Schizosaccharomyces pombe: one gene and its partners. The gene in region 2 interacts genetically with the main gene of each other region. Each region holds a gene or a part of one and is shown on either strand. Other genes may lie near its edges.

Region 1 (5,650 bases), on a different chromosome or scaffold from region 2:
CATTATCATCCTACACATTTAAAGAATACACTGGTAAAAACAATCATTTCCTCTCAATAGTACTTTTGAATGTGTTTTAAAAATCTAAGTGTATCCATTTCGTAAATAGAGAGTTTCACTTTGAATATTATTTCTATTTTCTTTTAGGGATTTCTAGTTGAAAAAAAAAAGCGCTTCATATAATTTTAATCAATGAAGAAGATAAATTGTTTTAAATACGAAATCTCATACAACTTCATCCTTCAGTAAATTTTTTACCAAAGTTGCTCTTGGTCGCACATCTTTAAAGGTAGCCTCAGCTATAAGACCATAAACAAAAAATCTATAGAGGCATTGTAAAGAGATAAGCAACTTCGAAGTTTTATACACCAAACACAAGTAGTTATCAGAGTTTTCCATTTAGTTTAATTTAATTTGGCTAACTATATATTACACTTAGGGAGTATTCAGCTGTGCGACAAATTTCCACAATTACGCATATCTAGTTTATCACTCCTTAAGTTGGTATTTGTGATTTTGGACGAGTTGTTGCTTAACTTGTATTGCGAAACTTACTATAATACAGTATTCGTTGACCTTAATACCTCAACTGCCTTTGCTACGCTAAGGATTCATCACATACCGATGACACTTCAGTAGTTCTTTAAATTTATTTAAGACGTACAAGCCAGTGCATAATCTAGGTTTACAAAACTCTTTGTTATAGCTCCTTAGACACGGGAACTAAGCAAAGGAGGTATACAGTCTGGATACACGGGAACTCTTAAACAAAGTGTAAAATAATGTATCTCTTAATAACTCTGTCGAAATGGTTATATATCACATTGTGAGCTTGTTACAATACCTTATAGCTTTGCATTTAGTTCAGTGCAGTTTCTTATGTTTGTGTTTTGGGTTTGTAAAGTATGATAAAACGAGAGAGATATTTTGACAAACTGATGAAATTCAAGATCTACTGTATCAGCTTATAACTGGAATAGAAAGAAAGAATATAAAGGCTACAATGTAGCCATGTGCGGTCAACGTTTAGACTGCCGATCTTATGACCTAACTAAAGCGATCGCTATTCAGATCCATTTCTGCTTGTAGGGATGAGACTTTGTAGAATAGCAAATCTGTAAATTAACAAATCTTCAAATTTTGTTGCATCAAGCAATAACTTCTACTCTATCTGTTTCTATCAATGGTTTTTCATATCTCGAATTGAAATATTTCCAATGTGAATCAACTAAAAACATCGCACCCCATTACCTTATTGAATATTCGAATTTGGGGATTTCCTAGAAGAGTTGGACATTAAATGACGTTAATAGAAGTAAAAAAAAAATAGAAAGTCGTTTCATCATGGACTTGTCGATGATTTGCATTACCAGACAATTTTACATCCGTGAGTTCGCAGCAATCGGGTTGGTATCCGTTTATAAATTTAGCCGTTGATATTCATCCCGTCATTTAAAGCTGAGCCTAGGTTGATCTAAATATTCCATTATAGAATCGCTGAAATATTTATTGAATAGGGCATAAATGGTACCCATGAATGCTAATGATAACTAGGCAATCCAACTCCAACTGGCATCTAAAGACTTAGTAATATGACCACCATTTCATAATCTCACGGTGCTACATATAGAAAATCGTTAACATCATAGATGGCATCTTCGGAGTTCCTTCTAGTCCACGCCGAATTGCGGATCAAGGTAAGCAGATCATGAGAAACGTGGGTCATGCGAAAAGTGAGTCTACAAGTGAGTTCATCCTCAAAAGCCTATATATATTATATATATAGCACTTGGGAATAAATGAATAAAGGTTGCAACTTTAGTGATTGAATCGGTAAATCCCGTTAAAACAAACAATCAGTGATTCATCCTTCTTTAGTGTGATCTGTGTAGGTAAGCAAGCAATTTACAAATGCCTAGAAAGTTGGCAAGGCCGGTTTGTGTTTGGCAAGGAAATGAGCAAAAACGTCTGTCTATTCCTAAAACGGACGGTGGGTAAGCAAAATCCCAACTTGAAAATTTGAATTGGGATTTTTTTATTTCAATGGAAAAAGATAGGTTAAATCATAAAAAAGAACATGATATTATTTTCTTGGAAATATGTCGAAATCCTGTCTCATCCCAACCTTTTCGACAAAACTAGGTGTCCTGATGGAAATATAGTTTAAGCTCATCGCTTGCCGAACCGCTCCATCAAATGCTTAATTTGCTTTTATTGACATTGTAGCTCGACGGACTCTCTAGATATCTAAATATTTTTCGTTGAACTTACTAGATTGGGAATTGACAATTGAAAGCTCTTTAATTGATTACTTTCATTGTCTTGATTTTTTTCATTCTCAGAAAATTTCAAAAAATTCAGACTTTAGAAACTCGCTGTTTGTTAATCACTCTCTTGCTTTTTTTGGATTCAGAGAAAATTGAAAAATTCGAACTTTTTTTAAAAACGAATCATTGACCGTATTCTATCCTTTTATCCTTTATTAAACCAACCTTGCTTTTTTAATTTTTATTTTATTTTTTTTTAAACATGAAATTATCTTCCTTTGGATTATTTCTCGCTCTCCAGCTTTTGCCGGCCTTGGGCCTTCCTTCTCGTATCGATGAAGTAGACGTTTCAGACCCAGAACTAATCGGATTATTGAAACCCGATAACGTTGATAAGCCAGCAAACTCTATACCCCTTTCCAAGCGTAGCACAAGCCCATCGTATGCGCCTTATACTGTTGCTTGCCCTAGTGGCTCTCTGCTTCGACCTGCCTCCGATGGCCTTAGTACTGGTGAACAAGAATTTGTTGACAAACGTGTCTCAAAGGTTAACAGTGCATTGGAAAGCTTTATTTCAAAAACCGGCTTAAAAATCGATACAAAAAGTGTGCTGAATGACACAGATGGCCCTCGTTTGGGAATTGCAATCTCTGGCGGTGGATTTCCTGCCATGTTAACGGGAGCCGGCGCTATTAATGCATTTGATGCTAGAAATGGTAACACTACGTCTCTTGGTGGTATTCTTCAATCTTCCATGTACCTTACTGGTCTTTCTGGTGGCTCTTGGCTTGTGGGATCTGTTGCGGTTAACAACTTTGCCAATATTACTTTCTTGCACGACGACGTTTGGAACCTGGACCACAGTCTCTTCGCTCCCTATGACGACGCTTTTGAGAACTTTTATATTTACCAAGAGTGGTTTGAGCAAGTTCTGCAAAAGAAGAATGCTGGATTCAATGTCTCCATTACTGACCTTTGGGGCCGTGCTTTGGCTCTTAAGCTTGTCAATCCTTTGACTGGAGGTGCTAATACTACATTCTCTAGTGTAACAAATGAAACGTGGTTCCAGGATGGTGAATTTCCCTTTCCCATCATCATTGCTGATAATGTCATAGAGGGTGAAACCGTAATCCCTTTGAACGACACTGTCTTTGAATTTACACCCATCGAATTTGGTACTTGGGACACTGGGGTGGAATCATTTATACCCATGGAGTATACAGGTACACACCTTATTAATGGCATTCCTCTTAATGAATCCTGTGTGCGTAATTTCGACAACGCTGGTTTCCTCATGGGTACCTCTTCAAATGTTTTTAGCGGTATCCTTCCTGCGACAAATGCATCACTCACCGCTAGTAATAATACCTTTAACAATGCTGTCCTTAGTTTCCTCGAAATGCTTGCCGAAGATCAATTGGATGTAGGTCTTTATCCCAACCCTTACCAAGGTTATGGAAATGCTTCCAATACAACCACTACCAATCCCTTGGAGCCGTATCCCATTATTGAATTAATAGACGGTGGCTCAGATAGTGAAGGTATTCCCTTTTGGCCCTTGCTTCATCCACAAAGAGACGTAGATGTTATTTTTGCGATTGACGGGGGTTATCAAAGCGCAACGAGTGGATGGCCAGATGGATCGTCCCTAGTTTCTACATATGAAAGAGTTTTAGCCACTAACTCCTCTGGCGTTCGTGGTTTCCCATATATTCCTGATACCAACACATTTTTGGCTCTTGGTTTGAACACTCATCCAACTTTCTTCGGTTGCGACGGTAGAAACACCACAGCCGGAAACCATACCGTTAATGACGATACTCCTCCTCTTGTAGTTTACTTCCCCAACTATCCTTGGACTATGTATGCAAATGTCACTACCTACACTGTTCAACTGGAAGATACTTTGTCCAGTGGAATGATTGAAAATGCCGCTGTTGCTGCTACCCAAAATAACAGTGATTCATTTGCTGTCTGCGTTGCATGCGCTCTCGTTCAACGTTCCTTGGAACGCAAAAACATGTCGACTCCAAGTCAATGTGCTTCTTGCTTTAATCAATACTGTTGGAATGGAACAATTGCAAGCACGACCGTTACTACATATGCACCTACAGTTCTGTCAGCCAAGATTTAGTATGCAACGCTCACGACAATCCATTTTGTTCGATCTTTTCCATGGTAGCATAGAGCGTAAAGCATTGAAACACTAATGTTCATATATTCACTAATCTAAGAACCAGCAAAAGTCGGCTCTTTACTTATTGCTCATAAACAACGAGAAGGAAGATATAGTGAATAAATATAGGAATGAAAAAAGCTTCAAGAAGCCATTAACACCATCGAATTTGAATTCCTAAGCTCTAAATGACACTAATTTATGTAACCTTTGCAGAAATGTTTCAACTCAAATACTGTGTCAGCAGTAGTCCAGCACGCTACGATATACTACGTTGCGTAGCACTATATGTCATGCTAAAATATACATAACATTAGTTTATTGATGATTGTAGCTGTTTGTCCATCTATCTACACAAGTTACACATTGGTAGCAACTAGAGAAAAATATAAATAGAGCTACCACTGAACCTCATTCCTCAGTTCAGTTATTGGCTATATCGGTGACCGATACTACTAGACTTTTTATAACAATAAATATAATATTATTAGTTAACAAAGCGCATACCGCTATGTTGTAAATCCCTAGAAATCTCGCCGCAGTGCTATATATCGTTAAACCAGATACCAAACTGCGTAGCTGACATTATAATTATACTACAACGTTTGCTTCTCAAAAACGTTTTAAGGAAAGCTAAGTTAGGGTAAATAAAAAGGGCAGTGACAAAATAAATGTGTCAGAAGCAATTGCATTTTGAAAATGAGTTTTCGAATTTTAACTTTTACCTACTATTATTAAAGAGAGAAGTCTTCTTTGAAAGAAATTGCTCGTTTTTTATGTTGAACGGCTGAAATTGGGCTCCAGAGTGAAAATTCTTGATTTCGCTGTTTCGTTTGTCGCAATTATAGCAATTAATTCGCGCATGTATTTTATTAAATAAAGAATGATCTTGAAAAAATGAAGAATAATTACACTTCCTTGAAAAGTCCTATAGATGAAGGAGATGAATCGAAGACAGGACATGAAATCGATTTGGAAAAAGGGCTACTTCCAGAATATGATTCAGAGGAAGAGGGCGCACTGCCTCCATACTCGGGTAAGAATTGTAAATAATAAGAAAGGAATTACTCAATTGAAATTGAAGCTTGCCATCGTAGTCAAATTGCATGCTTTGGTCATTGTTTACAGTTGGCCATGCAATGCACACATTTTAATACATGTTCTTTCTTTACTAAAGTCTTTCAATCATATTAATTTAAACAGATCA
Region 2 (5,372 bases):
AAGAATTAATTATCCTGTTCTCCACGGAAGCTCTGAGTTTTAAGTCTGCACGTACTCATTGCCGATATTTATTTCAACTCAATAGGTATCATTACGGTTTGGAGAACCTAAAAAATCTTAAATTATGAATTCCAACGTAAATATATGAGGAAAATAAAGATGTGCCATGCTTTACATATTTTGAGCGAATCGACCAGCTATAAACAGTACTCATCAACACATTAGTGGTGAGCATACCGTACATGGAAAAGCAAAACATCCTTTTTTAATAATACAATTTTTTCTTATTAACTAAAATCCTTACCCGATTAGGTGGGTGTTGTTCATCCATTATCTGTGCTACATTTAGAGAGAGACCTCTTTCCAAATCGATTACACTTTCATTTTCTATGTTTACACATCACTCATTTGTAAATAGACCTTCTAACTGGACAATAAAATTTTCTCAGTTTTTAAATTAAAGAAATGGAGAGTATTATACAATATTGCATGAATTGAAAACATTGAAGCGAAAGAGCGTGAACAAGGATTTCATCCTAACTCGTAAAGCAAATGTTCATTCTGCCTCGTTTGACATATCAGACGGAAGTCAAATCAAAGTGGATTTAAATTATAAAATAACTTGAAGTTTCATTTTATCATGTTTGCAGATTTTATTTACATTTCATCTCCACATTCCAATTGTATGCACATATGCAATACCCACTGTTACTGGTTCCTTTCTTAACGAAAATTATCGCCGCATACTAAAAAATATTTAATTTGTTTATTGTGACTGTAAATTAATTTGTGTTTTTAGATCTTTTATCGGGTTTCTTCAGGACGGGCTTGATGACACTTCGATTGTTTACAGAATATATCTATAGTTAAATTATTTAAACAACATTAGCAAGTCCAACCTATAATAAGGAAAATAAGCTCACTCTGGAAGTTCTACTGGTTTGGCCGATAATGTTTTTAGCAACATGTAACAGCGTTTACTATTGAATTTGTTTAAATTTCTTAAATACCATTTTGATCATAGCAATTCTGTTCGGTTGCTTATAATATTGCTCTAAATTATTTTTTATTTCACTTACTTCTTCTGCGTTTTATTTCTTGCTGACTGTAAATATGGTTAAATTGTTTTCAAAAACAAAGTATCAAATTTTTTTTTGTGCTTCTTCAGCGGACAAATGAATAGTAAAAACTGAAAGCGTGCTTTTTTGTTGGTAATAATGTTTGATTTACTCTTTTTTTTTTTTTTTTTTTTTTTTTTTTTTTGGCTCAGACCTTCTTGCTCATAATGATCTGGGCCATAGTACATCAATTTTCGAAGACAGTAATAAAGCAATTAAAAAAAAAAATTTTCGCCATTGATTCAAACTCACATCAGTTATCAATTAAAAAATTTCTTTACAGTTAATTTCTGCTATATTATTTTATTGAACCTTTTTAAATTCATTCAACCATTACGGAAGACACTAAATTTCCTTAAAGAATGAGTTCTGAGCTAAAGGATCAGTGGCCAGCTTTAAGAATAAGATATATTACGGCAAAGTTTCAGAATTATCTAAATATAATTTAATATAAATACATTTAACGATTATATTATGTATAGTATTATAATCCAATTAATTAATGGTAGCATATAATGACACGCAAAAGGGCTTAGTGAAGTCTTGCTGCTGACAATAAAGTGCATATAATGTTAGCTTCGCAGTTTGGTATCTGATTTAAGGATACATAGAACTGCGGTGAGTTTTCCTTGTGATCTATTATATTACAATACACAGGTTGTATGAGTAGCAACTGAGTATAGGTATTGTATTAACTAGGTTATAATGTTACCTATCACTAATATATCTTATAACTGAACTGAGGGACGAGGTTCAGTTGTTCTCAATTTATAATATTTGAAGTAGTAAGAATTATATCTGATAGTTATCTTATCATGAATGATATTATATCTCCATCTTGATGACTTATCATGTAATAGTTGATAGAGCAAATAGAACATTGTGAACATGTGACATATAGTGATATGCAACGTGGAGTATCATTGCGTAGTGTAGTATTGCTGACAATAACGAACTAAACCAGTATATTGTTATCCTACGCTAGCACCAGACTCAGCTGAGTTTACCAAGTAGGGCGATGCGATGAAGCAAAAGCATTCATTGCTTTAACCATGATAGAATGTCGCTTGAATTACCAGGAAACTACCGACTTTCCAGGCTTAAATCAATACAAATAAGAAATGTTCAAGAAATTCAAAATCATAGCAAATTTGCGATCAATACGACGGAAAATTTGTGGAAACGAGATGTGCAGTTAAAACGTGCAATTTCCGAAGGAACTATTCGTATTTTTATATCATTGCATGTGCAGAGTAAGAAATTGCCTGTTTATATTACTGAAACGAGCGGAAATGCTGTATGTGAACATGCTTTGATAAACAAAAGTATCTGAATGGTATCATTATATCTAGGTTATTTGCTTGATTGAAAAGGTTAATCAGTTTGTTTATACAAGTGATTTGCCAAAATTTCGTTGCTCAAATCCTTGAAACAAAGCCCTCAATTGATAGTTTATACCTTGTATCTCTTTTACCCATATACAAATTTTGTATGTATTTATGTTCTTTGTGTCTAACCTCTCATTAGAATCACATCTTTTACGTCGATGAAAAAGTAACCGAAAAGCTTCAAAAATACCGTCACGAAGAGTACTTTATCGTGAGGACTTGGTGCTCATCAAGTAGTCATGCCTTCAAGCTACATAAAGAATGGAAAATTTTGAGATATGACAGTAATTTTCGTTATATTGGTAATGATGTACGGTTGAATATTTTTGGTTTACCTTATGTTTCCCTTGTGTTGACTAACATATTATTTGTAGCCTGTTTTTGCAGTTTGTCATATTCGAAACGGTCTTTTATGTGAATTTAATGATGGCGTTTACATCTACACAACATCCCAGTCTTCGGATATTATGAGACAGACCTCCTTTCCAAAAAGTGCCTCCACATATTCTATAGACAGGCGGAAGGATGGTTACACTATTCAGAAAATCACTCGAATTTTGAAACTGGCTGAATGCATAGATGAAATGCACATTGCTAAACATGAAATTCGAGCTCATTTTCAGGAGGAGGAGTTTCAGCAGATACGTTTGATGCACAAAAGGATGTTACTTCGGGATGAAAAAATCGATGAACTGGCTAAATTAGAACATCTTTGGCAAAAACAAATTAATAGCATCACTCAGATGAGGACGAAATTTGACAAGACGAAAAGCTGGTTATCCTCAAAAAGGAACACTTTGAACAAATCCAAAGAATCCCTTCAAAAAGATGAAGCTGAGTATGTGGAACTTGCCAATTCTTTAAAAACAAAAGTAGAGACCAATATAGAGATTCGAATCCTTATGGCACATGCTATTCGTATGCACGTTTCCCATCTTTCCAAAATTTACCCAATCCAACCATCGCCTGGCAATCATGACGAGTTTACAATTCGCAATCTCCGCCTATCTTTTGAGCCAGATAAAATTAATAATGTGGAAATGGCTGCTTCCATAGGATTTTTGGCGCATTTACTTCAAACTCTTTCAAAGTATCTCGAAAAAGAACTCGCTTATCCAATTCTTTGCGCATCTTCGAGATCCTCCATCCTGGATACATTGACACCCGACATCCCCACGCGTATCTTTCCCCTTTATCCAGCAACTCGACCAATTGAGCTTTTTGAACATGCCATTTATCTTCTCAACCAGGATGTAAATGATTTTTTAGAAACTTTTGGATTACCTATTGACCAATCCATGGACATACTCAGGAACTTTAAAAAACTGCTCCAATTTATTTTATCAGGACAACATCTATCTTTTGTACAAGTAACGTCTACCGCTCCTTAACAATTCCATAAGCTTAGGCACCATAAGCCTAAATTATCGTTAATTGCAAAACTACGCATAACTTGTCTATCGTTTAATTGTATCTTTTCACCCTAGTTTACTCTCAACAATCAATTTCGTTTTCGTATTCTTTGTTGGAAATTCATATACCCATTTCACGGTTTAATTTTAATCATCTTAATGAAGAGTTTTTATGGACATTTGCCGAAGGCATATTACTCATTGTCATTGCGACAACTACTATACAATGCATTTACGTTTAAAATATAAAAATAAACAGATAATGATGAATGTAGATATTATAAATAGTTCCCTTAAATTAATAAAACTTGTGAATTAAAAAATAAAAAGAGCCATGTTCATTTTTTGATAGTTATGTGATGGTGATCGAGCTCTTCCGGTTACATCCGACCCACATATTCTAGGTATAGGCAGGCGGAGCGGGTCCTACACTTTCAAAAACTGGCGGGCATTCTTCATCCCAACTAATACCTAAACCAGCTGGCGTGGTAAGTGGCTGAACGACTGATACTCGTAAGATACGGGCATTGCCCATATTGTTTCCCGCAACGTTCTTTTTTCTATTAACAATGGTCTCAAAAATTAAATGATGAGAGACTTTTAAGGAAAAAGGGGCAGGAATTTCCACGTCACAGCTTGGCTCTCTTAAAGAAGATGTGTTAATTTGAGTAGATAGAAACATCTGATTATCAATGAACTTCCATCCCGATTGTAAATCTTGTGTACTCAAAATTCTTTTTTCTTCAATAGGTCGAGGTTTTACCAAATCACGATGGCGTTCACATGGTTGACAACTAAACTGCATATGCTCCTCCAATCTCCAAGTAACTCTATTGATCTTCCAATCGTTGCCGTCATTTTGGGCAAAACCAGTCATGGTAACTTCCATAAGCGCAGCTCCATGAGGATGCAAGGTACTGGGCAAAGTAATGTTTGCAACAAGATTCGTAGGGGGAAAGATACGTTTATGGATGGTATCAGGCGAAGGAATGGCAGCTCGCTTTAGTTGGAGAGGAAACTTAAGAACTTCGGGCTTCGAGGGAGAAATTCCGCCTTCAGGAGTACCATAGCATAACGTAGCTTCTAAATAATACTCAAGCTTGATGTATCTGTTAGAAACCGAAGCAGGAAGCGAACCAGGGAAAAGCCAACTAAAAGGCCAATGCTGAGTACCAGGTCTATATGTGGTATTTGCAGCTAAATCCCAAGTCTGTAAAACCTCTTTTGAACCCGCACAAGCAGAACAATGAGAGATTGCAGGATGAAGAACGGTGATCCTTTTTATGAGTTGCAGCTTGAGGGTATGTACTTTAATAAAAGGTTGATGTAAAATCGTCAGTTTTAAAATGCCAGACGCAAGTGCACCACTAGACGTTTCCGGCGAGCCAAGGAATACCAGCGGCGGTGATTCCATACGTATATCTAACGTACAGCGAGCAGGGTCTTTTGGCGTG
Region 3 (4,494 bases), 1.6 Mb from region 2:
TCGACCCCAATTGCCTATGATTTGATGTCTAGCAATTGTGTATGATTGATCGCCATTGTGTAGCTGTAGGTGTTATTATGTCTCTTTAAACTTGAACTTGTTTTCTCGTGCTGCTTTGGTATAGTGTTGTACGTTTTAGAGCACACGAATACAAGTTCAAGTTTAAAGTGGGCTTTATGTGTCTTCTTACCTGTGTTAACTCAGAATCAACATAACATGGCTTATACAGCTAAATGGCGCAGTGTAGTGTGCTGGAATGCAGCAACGAAAATCAGAAATTGTGAAATTCGATGATGAGTACTAATGCTTTGTGACGTAGATGATTGGGAAGTGCTAAAGGTGGGTGGGTGGATGGAGTAGTTAGTAGGAGGAGAAATGAACCTTAAGATATAGAAAGAAGTGGAGAAAATAAATTCGTTCTATAATGACTGGTCATCCAGGTAATTAAAGAGAGGGAGAAATTTTTGAGGTTGATTGTTTTCATCCCGCCCTTCCTATTAGCAATAAGGAAATTTGGTGTTGTTTATTTAACGAGATTTTTCGTGGGTTGATGGTATGTGGCTTCAGAATGGGATAATAACCTTGCATTGAAAGAGCAGGATATAAAGCATGCTTCAAAATATGTGTGCTATTAGCTATATTTTAAAAGACGTGTATTTTACCACAAATTTATTCTTCACATGTAATTTTCATACATTCACTTTTATTCTTATATAAACTAATGTCCCGTGGAATTTTCACTAAGCTACTACTATATTTATTCATAGAACGAGAAACCACCCTTTGTGGACATTTAGACTATTATTCTAACTTGATTCACGTGCCGTGTTGGTAAAAGCATAAGTTCAATTAAAAGAGCTTTTATCTCTAAAATAGAAGCAACAAATGCGATGCGAGTAGGAATGAAGTCAATTCTTAAAGGTAAAGCTTCTACCAAGATAAACTTACATATGAGTTAATAAATATTATGGTTAGGATACTCAAATTATAAGATAGCTTTTTGAGATTGTTTTTTGTTTGTAATATATTATTTTTTTTTTTTTTTCCTGTTTCGTTAGATCGTTATTTATTTTATTTTATTGTACTGTGTTTATTTTATTTTATTGAATAGTTCTTATGTGTGTGTTGTCTTTTTTAAATTTAATATTAAATGACATCTTTTTATTTTTTTATTTTTATTTTTCTTTAGCTTCACTTAAACCAATTATTCCTTTTAACTCATCGTCCATATTAACTATAATGTCTCCATACTATTTATGCTTCCTTAATTTCAAATTTCTCATTAACATTAATTTTACATCTACATCTACATTTATATATTTTTTTTTTGCAAACCTACGTAGAGTAACTTTCTCTTTTCCTTCGTTAAAACGATATCAATTTTAATACGAATTTACTCATTGTATTTCCATCTTTTCTCGTCTCCTCGCTCTAATCCTTTGTCGCTTTGATTTATTTGATTGCACTTACTCCATTGAAAACTCTTGATTCCCCGAACCCCCACATCCATCCAGTCCTTGAGAGATGCAAGACAAGAGAGGTTCATGGACCCAAGTGGGGTCGATTTTTTTTGGAGTGAGTTCCTTTTGATATCAATTGACCATGCTAAAAGCTTGACAAAAACAAGTATTTATCCAAGTGAGAACTAATTCACTAAGTAGATAATTTTTTGTTAAAGTTAGTTTTATGAAACGTACGTTTACTATTTACTCAAAAAAATTGAACCGAGATATCGGAGTCAATGCTATTCGCGATTCAAAAGAAAGATCAAGTGTTAACAGGAGCTTGAGTCGAATTTTCATACACTCATATACCCAAAGAAACACATTAATAAACAAACACCTAACTTGGCGTTTGTTTTCAAATACTAAACGAGCGCTGACGTCAATGGCTGATCGATCTATAGACTAGCGAAAATAGCAATAATTTGTACAATTGGAAGATCATAAGTATACATGGGTTTGAGCTTTTAGCGTGCACATTTTCGTATCAATTTCTTTTCTGAATGTAACTAAAAGACACTACAGATATTGTAGTAAATTCATCTTCCAATTCACTGCTTTGCTGTTAGGATATCGGGTACACAATCGCAAAATAGATTGCGGCAGCTTTCGGCCCCGCTCATATGTTTTCTATTCCGATGGAAGAAAAAGAGTTCAAATCGCACTCGCTTCCACACTACAACTACGCAATAACTCATCATTTCCCCACAAAAGTGACGTATTGTCCGTCGGCTATGTCCTAATGCAAAGCTTTATTTATTTGCGAGTTTTCCTCACCTTTTCGTCAATCTAATTTCAATCAATCATTTTTTTTACTTGCTTCATTTTCAAAGCATTCGTTATTCTAATCTTTTCTTCATTCTTACTATAACGAGATCATAAATTCTTTCTTGTTATACATACCGTTTCTACTTCGCTGCTAATTCTTTTTTTCTTTTGACATTTGTGCCTGTCTATTAATAATTCTTAACAGACATACTCTACTTCTCACTACTTCTTTTTTTCTAAGTTACAGTTTCTCATTAATTACTTTATCGAAAGATGTCTGTTTATCAAACTTACAAGGGCTTGCCAGCTGGTTGGGTCGCCCAATGGGATCCAACTTATCAAGCTTACTTTTACATTAATGAAACGTTTGAAGGTGCTCAACCACAGTGGGAGCCTCCTATTCCAGGCTTGCATATTCCTCCTCCTCCCGGTACCACTACCGTCGTCTATCAAAAGGACGTGCCTCGCTCTTCTGACGGCTCACGGTCTATGACGGCTGGATTAGGAGGTTTCATGGTTGGAGCTTTAGCCGGCAGTGTTCTTCGTGGTCACCGTGCTTACTACGCCCCTCCTCCTCCCAGAGGCCCTTTGTTTGGTCCAAGAATCGGTGGTGGCCATCATGGCCCACTTCATGGTCCTCACGGTGGTTTCGGCGGCCGCGGTGGTGGACGCATGGGTGGACGTGGTGGACGTGGCCGCAGATGAAAAGCGTTGATTTTTATTTAAATTTGGTTCCGATTTCGTCCTACATACTATGGTCGTTGATTATGGAATCGCTCTTTTTTTTTGAGAACATCACTTTCTCCTTTGAATAGAATCACCAAATTCACGTATACGACTCTTTCGAAATTGTTAAATGGAAAACACGATATCCAGTGAAGTTCTTTTTATTCCCTTGAAATTTCATACTATTTTTGCTAATCGTTCTAAAATTGTTATATTCTGTTAGTCGTTCTTTGACCTAATTTCTTGTTTACTTATATTAATTTTGTTATCATCTGATCTTTACTTGTTTCAAGCTTCCTTATTTATTGTACCATTGCATTCTTTATTGGGATTTCGAGGAAAACGGTCTAATTTATAAAATTTCTGTTTAATACCAAAGAAGTAAGGAGCATATATTATAATGGGTGTGAATATCGACGGAGTTGGTTGTCGATGGAATCATTTTTTTGGCATTTATCACTTCGACGTGTATTTACTTATTTATTTATATTTTTTTTTGGTTAATTGTAAAAAATTGGGTGAAGCACAATTTTTGAAACTTTTAAAAAATCAATGGTTGTTTTTTCAGACGTTAAATTAGTTTATTATGCATGATTTAAAATAGTCAATTATATATCTTTCATTTATTATTATCATTGTTTTTTCATTACTAGTTGTCCTTTTTTTTTGGGTATTTTAGTTGAATAGTTTATAGTGGTGTATTACTGACTATATAATTGGCAAACTCAGATATTTGTTTGGTTTTGGATTAAATGCACAATTCCGAAAAAATTAAGGCAGAAAGAAAAAAAATTTTTTTTACACTTATGGGATGTCATACCACTATTTTAAAAGACAAACAGATATCATTTGAATCGTTTAAAACCTGTATTTATCAAGCTGTTTAAAATAAGAGAAATATAACTTGGCTCTTGGATACACATAATGAAATAAGAAAAGTTAATATATTTCAAAATTAAGAAATATTATCTACGGTACAACATTTATTTGTTCATATTACGATTATTCAGTAAGGATACGTAAATTTGTACCTGGCAATTATCAAATGAATGTCGAGGGTTTTCATAGCAATGCAAAACCGTTTGTTTTTAAGCAAAGCCGGCGATTAAAAAGGGTAATAAGAGCAATTTTCCTTTTTCAATTAGCTATGTTTCAAGTCAAGCAGCATTAGTGAAACCCTGATATTCTGAGTTTGAATAAAACAAATTGGCAGTCTATTTTCCATGAACAGCTTTCGATAATTAGTGAAGTACTTTTAAAAACACGTTAATACCACTTTAATGGAACTCGTAAATTCGTAAACTAGGAATGACGAATTATGGTTTGGGGCAATCACGATATAGTAAAATAACGAAATTTGCATAATGCTACTACCACTACATCAGCCTCTTATGTAATGATCTGTAGCGTATCAGATTTTCATTTCTTTTATAATCGTTCTATACCACTGCGCGATTTCTCCTTTTCCCTAACAGATACAGCTTACCACCAAAACTTT

The links. Genes that interact genetically often act in the same process or in processes that back each other up.
Region 1: mutations in vps38 (region 2) and plb5 together harm fitness more than expected from each alone (negative genetic interaction), as found in Schizosaccharomyces pombe (one large-scale study listed by BioGRID).
Region 3: mutations in vps38 (region 2) and wwm3 together harm fitness more than expected from each alone (negative genetic interaction), as found in Schizosaccharomyces pombe (one large-scale study listed by BioGRID).

What each region holds. Positions count from the first base shown.
Region 1 is NC_003421.2:1,740,339-1,745,988, reverse strand, and holds plb5 (phospholipase Plb5), read left to right. Parts: upstream 1-2,529; coding exon 2,530-4,401; 3' UTR 4,402-4,787; downstream 4,788-5,650. Other genes in the region: wtf antidote-like meiotic drive suppressor Wtf16, read left to right, coding at 5,341-5,479, 5,647-5,650.
Region 2 is NC_003423.3:1,804,084-1,809,455, forward strand, and holds vps38 (phophatidylinositol 3-kinase complex subunit Vps38), read left to right. Parts: upstream 1-2,147; 5' UTR 2,148-2,178; coding exon 2,179-2,415; intron 2,416-2,645; coding exon 2,646-2,816; intron 2,817-2,880; coding exon 2,881-3,897; 3' UTR 3,898-4,234; downstream 4,235-5,372. Other genes in the region: arrestin-related substrate adaptor Any1, read right to left, coding at 4,319-5,372. UniProt on the Schizosaccharomyces pombe protein: Involved in endosome-to-Golgi retrograde transport as part of the vps34 PI3-kinase complex II. Mediates the interaction between atg6 and the pik3-ppk19 core complex, leading to the recruitment of atg6 to the membrane.
Region 3 is NC_003423.3:199,993-204,486, forward strand, and holds wwm3 (protein wwm3), read left to right. Parts: upstream 1-2,288; 5' UTR 2,289-2,543; coding exon 2,544-2,975; 3' UTR 2,976-3,631; downstream 3,632-4,494.